Macaca fascicularis: one gene and its partners. The protein of the gene in region 2 purifies or fractionates together with the protein of the main gene of each other region. This does not show direct contact. Links are inferred from orthologs where the notes say so. Each region holds a gene or a part of one and is shown on either strand. Other genes may lie near its edges.

Region 1 (4,238 bases), on a different chromosome or scaffold from region 2:
AATAAATAAATAAATAAATATATCAGAACAAAATAAACTATACAAAATACAAAATGTTTGCTTAGGTATGTATGTGTGTACTTAAGCAGGGGAAGGGGAAAGTCTAGGGAAGTGGAGAAGAGAGAGGCAGCGCTGACTACATAATCTGCGTGGCCCATTGCAAAATACAAATGTAAGACTCCTTGGTTAAAAATTATGAAGAACGAAACAGCGACAGCAGACTATTGTTCCAGAACATTAAACCAAACACGGGTCTTATGAGCTGTGGCCTATACAACTGCACAGTCGCACACCCATGAAGCCCACCCTGGTGGGAGGAGAGAATTAGAATTCATCTCCAACGAATGTAAAACAATCCCTACCCTGCCAAAACAACAAAAATAAACGATCCAAATTAGGGCAGGTTGTGAACAATCCTGATGGCTGTGCTTGTGATCATGGTGGCGGGGCTGAGGTGGGAGCACTGCTCCTATATAACAGACTTTAGAGGAGAAGGAAAATAGTTTCTGAAGCTCCAAAGGAGAAACTTCAGGCGCAAAGAATAAGGTAAAGGAAAGGAAACCGCGTCAGACCCTCCTCCTGCCCTTGGGCAGTCAATGCCTTTTCTTTCCAAAGCGACCCTCTCTTTAGATCACTGTGTATATCCGGTGCCTTAGGAGCTGGGGTGGAGTAGGTAGGGTTGGCTGTAATGGCGTGTCAGAGCGACAAAAAGGGTAGGGACAAGTTTAAATCCCTTTCTGTGGATTGGCTTCTACCCTCTTTGGCAACAAACCCCAGGGCTCCCAGAGGGGCCTGGATGTAAGTGGTTTCCGGATGACCCATCCTCCCTTGACCCTCCAAAGGTAAGACCCGAGGGGAACCGCTGTGATCAGCATTCTTGAATTCCTCAAAAGTCACCTCACTTGTAGAAGTGCGTAGTCCTCGAGCATTTGGAAGAGGTGGCAGGGACCGTGGGGCCCGGGAAGTTCGCGACCCCAGGAAGCGGGTGTGAGGAGGTGCGCCCCATCCACTCCGTCCGCAGTCGGGGCAGCGGGACCCGCGAGGACTGGAGTCCCTGCAGGGAGGGAAGGGCCGCTCCTGCCGAGGCGGCTCCGAGCCCCGCCACTCGGTCCTATCCCGGCTCGCGGAGGCTCAGGCCTCGGGAACTGCGGGCGGAGGGGGCGGCGACCGGGCACCCTGCGGCCACTGCTCCTGCGACTCCCGCGCCCGCCGGGTGGTGGCTCCGCAGTGCCCGCCCCCAGCTCCCCTTCCCCGCCCCTCACGCCCCCGCCCGGCGCTCTGGCCGCGCCGACCCGCCGCCCCGTCCTTCCGAGCGCGCCAGGCGGCAGCTTCTTGGCGGCGGCGGCGGCACCTCCCCCGCGCCGGCGGCCCCGCGCCGGCGGCCGCGCTCCGGGCCGCAGAGTCCTCCCGCCTCGGCCATTTTCCCTCCTCCCCATCTCCTCCCCTCAGTCCACTCCCCTCCTGATCCTCATCCCCTCGCCCTCCCCCCGCGCGGGGACTTTTCCGGAAAGTTTTTATTTTCCGTCTCGGCTCTCGGAGAAAGAAGCTCCTGGTTCAGCCGCTGCAAAACTTTTCGGCTGCCGCGCCGCCGGCCCCCGCCCTCGGCTGCCCGGCCCCGCGCCCCGCTGAGCGATGAGCGCCCCTCCGGTCCTGCGGCCGCCCAGCCCCCTGCTGCCCGTGGCGGCAGCCGCTGCGGCAGCTGCCGCCGCACTGGTCCCAGGGTCCGGGCCCGGGCCCGCGCCTTTCTTGGCTCCCGTCGCGGCCCCGGTCGGGGGCATCTCGTTCCATCTGCAGATCGGCCTGAGCCGTGAGCCAGTGCTGCTGCTGCAGGACTCGTCTGGGGACTACAGCCTGGCGCACGTCCGCGAGATGGCTTGCTCCATCGTCGACCAGAAGGTAAGTCGCCGCGCCGCTGCCAGCCCGGCGCCTCCCCGCGGCGCAGGGGGCGCTGCCCAGCTGGCCCTCTCTGCGCCAACTTTCCGGCTCCCGGGGCTCGGCCGGCGGCCAGCCTCGTCGGCGCTCTGGAAGCGACTGGCCTCGCCGCGGCTGGACGCCTGCAGCCCGAGGCACTGCGCTCGCTGTTGCTCATCCTCCTCTCGCCCCATCTTCCTCTATTCACCGATTTGTCTCCAGTCCGCCTACTCCTCACCCATTTCCATCCTTCTCATGACAATTTCCAGGTATCTTGCCCTTTCCTCGCCGCGCCCCTCCTTGTCCTTGAGACTTCCCAGTTTTCTTCTCCTCTGTCCCCTTCCCCTATGGACCCTGGACCAGCGCATTCCTGGTGCCGGAATCCTACTTCCTGCACCAGAGTGCCCCTGGAATGGCCTGGAGACAAGAAATTTCTCACCTGTCAGCTAAACTGACCAGGACTGCAGCTACCCAAGGCCCTGTCATCTTTTAGTTCCACCTCTGTATGAACATGGAAACACATTTTCCAACGACAAAACCTGAAAGTTGCAACCTTCCTATTTTTCATTCCCGGGATGCTGATAGTAGGACGTTGAAGTGGTGGGGGTGATGTCCAGGAACATCCCAAGGCTGGCTGTGCCCTTAAGTTTGAGGCTGTGGGGCTCTGGACAGCGGCCACTCAAGGCAGGTTGGAAGAAGGGCCGTTATCTGGGGCCAGGCCACCCCCGGAGGAGACTCAGTCCAGCCACCACTGTTTACAGTTGCAATTTGGATTTTCAGGTTGCCTCTGGAGCTATCCAGAGGGATGTTGCATGGAAGGGGGTGATACAGATGTGAGGGAGAGGGGACCATGGCGCCAGTCTTCTTAGTGTAAACAGCCAGCGTTTCAGGGGGTGGAGACAGAGGTCTCTAAAGGTGCTGAATTTTTCAGCCCTGGAGGACTGGCTAGCACTCCTTTTGCTTTCCAATTATCACTTGAATAATCATGAATTGCTTTCTTTAAACTATGTGTAACAGAGTTTGCTAAACCTTGAGGGTTGTGAGTTGCGGCACTGAGCACAGGGATGTTAAAAGCCCCAGGTGGAAAAAAATAACCGATCTAGAAAGTTGTGAAAGTTCTAGACTAAGGTAACAATGAGTGCCAGGAATTTATTTATGGAACTTTACTTTTATATTACGGGTAATGTCAACTGTTTGCAACTTCGAAGAAAATGACACATTTTGTCTAATGCTGATGCAAGTCATATCATGCTCCTTTTCCACATCAGTATTGTGGAATGTCTATTGTGGGTAAGCAGGAGCACTCTTCTAGGCACTGTGAAAGCCTTGTATACAACCCTCTCCATTTGGATGCAGACCAGTTAATTAAACAGCAATGCTTCATAACCACATATACAATGTACAATAAAATTTCTCAAAAAGCAAAGGTAATTCTGTACAATTTTAACTTTTCTAAATTCTAAAGCAAGTGATGTAGTGTCAGAGAATATTCAAATTGGGTCAAAGTAATATTGATAGACTTTGTTTTGACCAGCTTGAATTCTCCCTCCTCCCCGCCCCCAACTTCCTTATGGAGTTCAGGATGGAGAGACTGATCCATGGCTCAAGAGGTTTGGTAGTGGGATTTTAAAATGGAGGGTGAATTCCAGGTGTCTTGGAAGCTACCAAGAGGCGTGTTACATGGAGAGAGTGAGATGAGAGCAGAGGGAGAGGGACAGCAAGCACTTACGGAATGCAGCAGGCCTGAAGGTGGTGGCTGGGGTCTTTAAGGGAAGTACAGTTATGAAAAGGCCTTGAATTAAACTCAAATTGCGAGAAGCCTCAGTAATCTTTTCACAGCGACATCATACCAAGGACATCTGAAACATGGATTTGCTGTGTGGAGGTTTTAGAATGCCAAAAATGTTATGGCAGAAAGAGCACCAGAGTTCAGTCATGAGCAGTTGGAACATGAGCCAAGACTCTTGGGGGAGAGACCGGGAGAAATACTGGAAAGAGAAAACCATCAGCCCTGATAGGTGACTGATTTATAAGGGGAATCCTTTCCTTTTGTATTTGTTTTGGTAGTTTCTTCTGTCTCTCAAAGAAGTTTGAAAAGTTTGACTGTTTGGGATAGTTAAGGTAAAGATCTAACTGATTTTTTTTTTTTAAGGTTATAAAAAAGTTGGGGTTAGATTTATATATGTGAACTTGAGGCTTATTTATATACAGAATACTGTAAATAAATATATACTAGGTAGTGTTTCTGGACAGAGGACTTTTTCAATTTCTCTATCATCTGTCATCTCTTTCAGAATATATTGCTATCCCAGCAGAAACAAAATTAA
Region 2 (3,504 bases):
CCTCACCAAGACAGGGGAGCTGCCCAGGCAGCCCACCACCCACCCTGAGGAGACAGAAGAGGAGCTGACAGAGCAGCAGGAGGCCTTGCTGGGGGAGGGAGCCCTGACCATGCCCCGGGAGGGCTCCACAGAGAGTGAGAGCACACAGGAAGACCTGGAGGAGGAGGAGGAGGAAGAGGATGGGGAGGAGGAGGAGGATTGCATCCAGGTCAAGGACGAGGAGGGCGAGAGTGGTGCTGAGGAGGGGCCCGACTCGGAGGAGCCTGGTGCTGGTTACAAAAAAGTGAGCCCCGTCTCTGGTCCCAGCCCTTAGTCACCACCCCTCTGTCCTTCCCCACCCGTGCCTTTGCCCTTGTCTTTCCCTCTCCCCCATCTGCAGTTTCCAGGCTGTGCAGGAGCAGCTTTCTGTAGAGAGCAAAAGGGGAGTGGGAAGGAGGCCAGTGGGGAGAAGGGGGAGCTGTTTGTGTTGATCTCAGAGCTGTGTCTCCTGGGCTGCCAGTTCCCTCCCTGTCTCTGTGATACTGGCCTGCCTCTCTGCATGTGTGTCTGTGTGTGTGTGCATGTGCGGGTGTGCACGTGTGCACACGTGGCCTGTGTGTATCTGCGTTTCTGCCTGCGTAGGGCCGGCTGTGCGTCGGTCCCTGTGCGTGCCTGTGCGTGTGTGTACACACACGCCCCCGCTGTTACTACTGTCTGCCTCACGCCTAGCTGGCACTCCATTCATTGCGGACACAGCCGAGCCCTCCAGGCCTGACTCATCCCGCCCCCACCCCGCCCCCGCCCCTCCCAGCCTCTTACCTCAATGCTACTCTTTGATGTGACTCATCACATCTCCCCCATCCCTCCCTGTCTCAGGAGATGTGTCTCCTGTCCCTAGAGGGAGCAAGTGGGAGGAGGTGGGGGAAGGAGGAGACTTGGAAGAAAAGGTCTGGATTGGGGCCCCTCTGGAGGCCCTGACAGGGCCTGCCCTCACCCCTGTCCTGGCTGAGTCTGACCCAGGCCCCCTCCCACTCTCCTCCCCTGCAGCTGTTCTCAGATGCCCAGCCGCTGCAGCCGCTGCAGGTGTACCAGGCGCCCCTCAGCCTGGCCACTGTGCCCCACCAGGCCCTGGGCCGCACCCAGTCCTCCCCTGCTGCCCCTGGGGGCATGAAGAGCCCCCCAGACCAGCCCGTCAAGCACCTCTTCACCACAGGTGAGCCCCCACCACTTGTTATGTCCTTCTACCAGGCACCAGAGGGCCTGTGCGTGGTGTCTGCCCCATGGGCAGGGGGAAGAGGCTGCTGGGGCCCCTTAGGCACCCTGAAAGGAGGGGACACAGGCTTTTGTTCTCTCCCAGTTCCCCAGAGCTGTTCGTGGTAGTGGCAGGGCCTTCTGCCTCAGCTGGGAGAGTGGGTAGCATCTTTCTCACCCCGCTGAGGGAAGGACTGCCCCACAGCCTGAAGTGCTGGGTAGAGAGAGCCTGCTGTCTCTATTGGGCCCTGACCTTCCACCTTCCCTTCCTTCTCCCTGTGAGGTCTGGGATGAGACCAGAGTCCTCTTCCCCATGAAGCTGCCACAGGCTGGGCTCTGCAGGGACACAGATGTGCCTGAGGGTGGGCCTGTATAACCAGTGGGGAGTAAGACATAGGGGTTTGGCAGGAGGGGGAAAGCAGGAGGTGCTATGAGAAGGGTGCAGCCAAGGAGGCACAGCTGGCAGAGATCAGACCCATGCGGGTGTCCAGGGCAGCCTTACTGGGGCTTGTGTAGCAGGGAAGCTTCTGACAGGCAGTAATGGAGCAAAGGAATTTCAGGAGTCGTCGAGAGGGGGCAAAGGCTGGAGAGGAAAAGCCAGGTGCAGTGACTCACACCTGTAATCCCAGCATTTTGGGAAGCCAAAGTGGGAGGATCACTTGAGCCCAGGAGTTTGAGACCAACGTGAGCAATATAGTGAGACCCCGTCTATTTAAAAAAAAAAAAATAGGCTGGATGCGGTGGCTCACGCCTGTAATCCCAGCACTTTGGGAGGCTGAGGCGGGCAGATTACCTGAGGTCAGGAGTTCAAGACCAGCCTGGCCAACATGGTGAAACCCCATCTCTACTGAAAATACAAAAGTTAGCCGGGCGTGGTGGCACATGTCTGTAATCCTAGCTACTTGGGAGGCTGAGGCAGGAGAATTGCTTGAGCCCAGGAGGCAGAGGTTGCAGTGAGCCAAGATCGTGCCATTGTACCCTAGCCTGGGCGACAGAGCAAGACTCTGTCTCAAAAAAAAAAAAAAAACCAAAACCAAAAAAACGCTAGATGTGGTAGCGCCTATAGTCCCAGCTACTCAGAATGCTGAGGTGGGAGGATCGCTTGAGCCCAGGGTGGTGGGGGCAGTGGTTGAGGCTGCAGTGAGCCATGATAGCGCCACTGCACACTCCACTCCAGCCTGGGTGACAGAGTGAGACCCTGTTTCAAAGAAAAAAAAAAAGCTGGAGAGGAGAGGGTGCAGGTGTGTGGGAGGGTGGCTGCAGTGGCCACGGGGAGGTGTTTGGACCTGGGGGTTGGAGAGAGCTCCATGAGCCCTGCTGAGGATCATGGTAGCCACACTGGGACCCGGGGCCCAGAGCAGTGCTGGCTGACACATAGGTCTGTGGCGCAGGTGTGGTCTACGACACGTTCATGCTGAAGCACCAGTGCATGTGCGGGAACACACACGTGCACCCTGAGCATGCTGGCCGGATCCAGAGCATCTGGTCCCGGCTGCAGGAGACAGGCCTGCTTAGCAAGTGCGAGGTAAGGGAGCCCCTCCTTCCTCTGGCCCTCAACTTAAATTCAGCCTTTGTTTCCCCATTAGAGAAGCCTCTCTTCATGCTTCTTCCTCATCCTCTCTTCAGCCCCAGACTTCGGGGCCAGTTCTCCCACCACCCCCTGTTCCATCCTTTGCAGCCTGTTTTCCCCCATGGTCCCCAGCTGAGTCAGGGAGGATCTGGGAGTAAGGTCATGACAGAGCCAGGATCTACTTTCTGAAAAATATTTGGATCTCCTAAGGCCAGGAAGTGACTCTGTGTACCCCTGGCTATGGGGCAGAAAGGGTCTGAGAGCCAGGCGCGGTGGCTCACGCCTGTAATCCCAGCATTTTGGGAGGCCAAGGCGGGCATATCACGAGGTCAGGGGTTCGAGATCAGCCTGACCAACATGATGAAACCCCGTCTCGGCCGGGCGCGGTGGCTCAAGCCTGTAATCCCAGCACTTTGGGAGGCCGAGACGGGCGGATCACGAGGTCAGGAGATCGAGACCATCCTGGCTAACAGGGTGAAACCCCGTCTCTACTAAAAAATACAAAAAGCTAGCCGGACGCCTGTAGTCCCAGCTACTCGGGAGGCTGAGGCAGGAGAATGGCGTAAACCCAGGAGGCGGAGCTTGCAGTGAGCTGAGATCCAGCCACTGCACTCCAGCCCGGGGACAGAGCGAGACTCCGTCTCAAAAAAAAAAAAAAAAAAAAGAAACCCCATCTCTACTAAAAATACAAAACTTAGCCGGGC
Region 3 (4,167 bases), on a different chromosome or scaffold from region 2:
GGAATTTGCAAATATTTTCTCCCATTCTGTGACTTGTCTTCTCATTCTCTTAACAGTGTCTTTTGTAGACTTTTCAAATTTTAGTGATGCCCAACTTACTGTTTTTTTTCTTTTATGCATCATGCTTTTGGTGTTCTAGCTACACAGTCATTGCCAAACCCAAGGTCATCTAGATTTTCTCCTATGTTATCTTCTAAGAGTTTTTATAGTTTTACCTTTTATGTTAGGGAGTATGTTCTATTTTAAGTTAATTTTTGTGAAAGATATAAAGCCTATGTCTAGAATTTTTTTTTTTTTTTTTTTTGCATATGGGTGTCCAGTTGTTCCAGCACCACTTGTTAAAAAGGATGAATTGCCTTTGCTCCTTTGTGAAAGATTAGTTGAGTATATTTGTGTGAATTCCTACTGCCTTTTAATTAAAATTTTGGGTACTGTATATGGGGAATGCTGGTGGTATTTGTTGCAAGCAGATTCTTGTTTTCCCCTCCCTCCAGTCAATAACTGAAAATAAGTGTTTGCAACACACACACACACACACGCACACACGCACATGGCTAGTGCAGTGGGTATCTGTGTACATCATTGTGGACCCCTCGCCCTGTTATCCTTCAGCTTTCTCAGAATACACTAGCTCCTTCCGGCTGTACTTTATTTCCTTGTTTTCTCCCACCTTATAGGACTGCACATTTGAAAAATCGTTGAAACAGATTAAATAACACAGTCTAATTATCACCTACCGTACAGCCCATCTAGCATTTCAAAAAGAGGAATTTTGGTGAGTTCATGATAAATGTAGGCGGTCTCTCTTCCTGTCTTAGGTCTTACAGTGTCCTTTGGGGCCCTGTGAATCTATGATAAAAGATATTGACTCTTTACGGGTAATAAGGCCGGTGGGATTATTGGGCTATTACCAACCAGTCAAGATGAATTCTGAGCTCTTTTGCTTTGTCAGTTACAGGAGATCAGCTATAAATCCTGGCCACACAGTGCTCCAGTTTGAGAGTGATGATTTCCACCACTTTCCCATACTTTAAAAGATTGGCATCTGCCAAGTGATCAAAACACACAAAGAGGCCTTTTAACCAAGTTTAGCTTGAATTTCCAGTTGCTAACCACAAGCAGGTCTGGCAAGCTAGGAGGCCGGTTGGCTGCGCAGCTACTCCAGAGTGTGCGGTAGCCGAGGGCTGCGTCCGCGTAAAGCCCAGAGCTGTAATGATGTCAACTTGTTATTTACTTTCCAAATCTGAATGACTGAGCAAGGCGAAAGGAGAATCAATCAACCACAATGTGACCCTACAGGCGGAAAAAACGCAGCGCTCCCACCAGCAGGCGGTGGGGGAAGGGAAGCACGTGTAGCCAGGGCAGGGTTGCATCATGAGCTCTTTCGCTCGGGTTTTCTATTGCACCCTTCGTTTTTCGATTGCATGTAATAGTCAGCATCAGTCTGCACAAGCCCAGGGAGCCCGGGAGCAACGAAGGGCAGGCTCAAGGGAAGGCCCCACCAAGTCCTTCTGGGGGGCCTTGAATGGCAACTGATACGTAATAAGACACAATCTATTCTGCTGATTCACAATTATGGAGACTGTGTAAGTGTGTATTTTTTTTATTGATGTCCTCTAATGATGGTGTAGCAACAGTCATTTTGCATCATTGACGTTTTACGGCAATATTTTGCAGGGTAATTTTGAGGTCCGCCTTTTTGATGGAGGACCGGCCTCTTAAAAACTCACCTCCGGCCGGGCGCGGTGGCTCACGCCTGTAGTCCCAGCACTTTGGGAGGCCGAGGCCGGCGGATTGCCTGAGGTCAGGAGTTCGAGACCAGTCTGGCCAATATGGTGAAACTAAAACTACTAAAAATACAAAAAAATTAGCTGGGCGTGGTGGCGTGCGCCTGTAATCCCAGCTACTCCGGAGGCTGAGGCAGGGGAACTGCTTGAACCAGGGAGGTAGGTGGAGGTTGCAGTGAGTCGATATCGTGCCACAGCACCCCAGCTTGGGCAACTGAGCGAGACTCCGTCTCAGAAAAACAAAAACAAAAACAAAAACCTCACCTCGGGTCCCCCTCCCCCCACAACCAGAACAACAAATGGTCTAGTGTTCGAGGAAGAGCAAGTAAGGTTATAGTTTAGATTGCTGAGTGCACCGGACTCTTAGCACGAAGCTCATTATATAGTAAAGGAAGGGGCAAGAATATTTGAAAAATATTCAACAAGGCTGACCCCAGAGGTGCTGGGGAGGGGGAGTGGAGATCTGTTTAACTGAATTAAGGCCGCGAGTGGTGGGGAGTAGCCTACGTGGAGGGGAGGAAGGAGCGCTGGGGACTTAAGTGCACCGGGGCCAGGCCGTGTAAGCCATTGCAACATTAAGCACTTTGCAAGGCCCAGAGGGCTGAAGCCTGGGGGTTGGGGTGGGAGTGCTGAGGCCCGAGGGCCCAGGTCCCCCTAACCTCCTCAGCCCCCACACCCGAGCTCCTGGCGCCTATGCTTGTGTGTCTGAGTTTGTCCCTAAGCGTTTCTGGCTCTTCCTGGGAGGTGTTTTGCAAAGGTCGAGGCTCCGCCGGAGCCCCCACTTTTTGAGGTGGGGTAAAGACTACTGGGGTGTCTTCTAAGACGCTTATTTTGAGGGAGATTCACCATCGGGCAGGTGGCAGGGGGTTCTCTTGGGGCAGCTGGGTGGCTTCCTTATTGGGGTGGGGGAGGGTAACACTTTAGCAGGGACCGAGGTTCCCCTGCCCCCCCGAAACAGAGGGGGTGGCCGAGGTTCCCGTCCCCTCGAGGCAGTCGTGGAAAGGCTGGGTTTGGGATGTGATGGGGGTAGCCCTGGGGTCCTCTCAGTCCCACGGAGGCCACGGGGAAGGGACCGGGACCGGAGCAACTCGGGAAAGGCTTGGGTTCCCCTCACCCACCCTAGGCGTTGGGGAGCGGGGCGGGCTTGGTAGGGACGCTGGTCCCCCGACCGTGGGGCAGGGGCTGGGTTGGGACGCGGGTCCCCTCTAGGAGCCGCGGGGGAGGGGCAGGGCCGGAGTCCCTACCCTCGTGGGGGAGGGGCTGGTTCGGGACGCGGCTCCCCCGGGGCTCAGGGGCGGGGCTGGGTGGGACGCCGGGTGCCCTCCCACGGCCGTGAGGGAGGGGCTGGCGGAGGGGGCGGACCCCTGGCGGTAGTCCTGGTTGGGGTCCGCGCGCTCGCGACCGCTCCCCGCGGAGGTCACTGCCCGTGCCAGTCCCTCCCGCTGTTCCGCCCTCTCCCGCCGCCGCCGCCGCCGCCTCCGCCGCCGCGCCCGGCTCAGCGGCCCCACTCCGCGCTCGGGAGCGAGGAGTCGCCAGCGCCCCCGCCGCGCCGCCGCCGCAGCGCCCTCCGGCCGCCATTCGCCACCGAAACTTTCCAGCGCCCGCGCCCTCTCCGGGACTCGGCGGCGGCGGGGCGGGGGCGGCCCGGGGGCGGCGCGCGGCTGCTCCAGGGCGCCGGGCCCTCTTCGGCCGCCGCACGGCCGGGGCTCGGAGGCTGCCGGCCGGAGGGAGGTTCGGAGCGCGGCCGGGCGCGCGGCGCCGCCACAAGTTGCGCTGTTCGCGGCGAGGTGAGTGCGCGGGGCTCGGCGGGCCGGGCGCGGGGTCCGCAAACTTCTGCGGGGAGGCGGTTCCCGCGCTGACCCTCCAGGGTCTGGCCGGCGACTCGGGGCGCCCGGACGCTCCACCCGCCCCTGGAACTACAGGAGGCGCAGGTCGCCAACTGTCCCCGTGGCGCTCGGACTGGGGTGCGGCGCGCTCCCAGGAGGCTGAACAATACCCCGAGGTGGCCGCTCCCCAAAGTGCCGGCGCGCCTTGCGGGGAGAGACAGAGGTCGGCGGGGGGCTCCTTTGTTTTGGGGAGGGGTAGGTGACCGGTAAGTTTATGGAAGAGCTCGGCTTTTCCTCTGGTGCCCCTTTGTCTGCCGATCTTGGGGCTTGCTGGGCAAACCTGCGCCACCGCGGGCTCGGGGGACCGGGGTGGAGGGCGGTGGCGGGATTTCCCCGCTGTTGGGGAGAGGAGCCCCATTCATCCCCGGGAAGCGGGCCGGCCCGCCCGGACCCGGGTGGAAGCGCAGCCTTACGAAGTGAGGCAAGCGGCGGGCGAGGTGGCGCGGGCCCCGCGTCTGCTCAGTTTCTGAGGCGCAGAAACTGTCAAGGAAGTC

The links.
Region 1: the proteins of HDAC5 (region 2) and PRKD1 purify together in Homo sapiens (affinity purification with western blotting; 4 studies listed by BioGRID, with this or other methods). This does not show direct contact. The link is inferred for Macaca fascicularis from reciprocal best matches to the Homo sapiens genes HDAC5 and PRKD1.
Region 3: the proteins of HDAC5 (region 2) and TBL1X purify together in Homo sapiens (affinity purification with mass spectrometry; 3 studies listed by BioGRID and IntAct, with this or other methods). This does not show direct contact. The link is inferred for Macaca fascicularis from reciprocal best matches to the Homo sapiens genes HDAC5 and TBL1X.

The regions. Positions count from the first base shown.
Region 1 is NC_088381.1:97,748,461-97,752,698, reverse strand, and holds the start of PRKD1 (serine/threonine-protein kinase D1), read left to right. Parts: upstream 1-1,436; 5' UTR 1,437-1,632; coding exon 1,633-1,896; intron 1,897-4,238. Other genes in the region: uncharacterized protein, read right to left, coding at 898-1,436.
Region 2 is NC_088390.1:65,135,601-65,139,104, reverse strand, and holds part of HDAC5 (histone deacetylase 5), read left to right. Parts: coding exon 1-283; intron 284-1,026; coding exon 1,027-1,192; intron 1,193-2,621; coding exon 2,622-2,755; intron 2,756-3,504. UniProt on the Homo sapiens protein: Responsible for the deacetylation of lysine residues on the N-terminal part of the core histones (H2A, H2B, H3 and H4).
Region 3 is NC_088395.1:9,143,524-9,147,690, forward strand, and holds the start of TBL1X (F-box-like/WD repeat-containing protein TBL1X), read left to right. Parts: upstream 1-1,363; 5' UTR 1,364-1,586; intron 1,587-3,136; exon of another isoform or gene 3,137-3,574; intron 3,575-4,141; exon of another isoform or gene 4,142-4,167. UniProt on the Homo sapiens protein: F-box-like protein involved in the recruitment of the ubiquitin/19S proteasome complex to nuclear receptor-regulated transcription units. Plays an essential role in transcription activation mediated by nuclear receptors.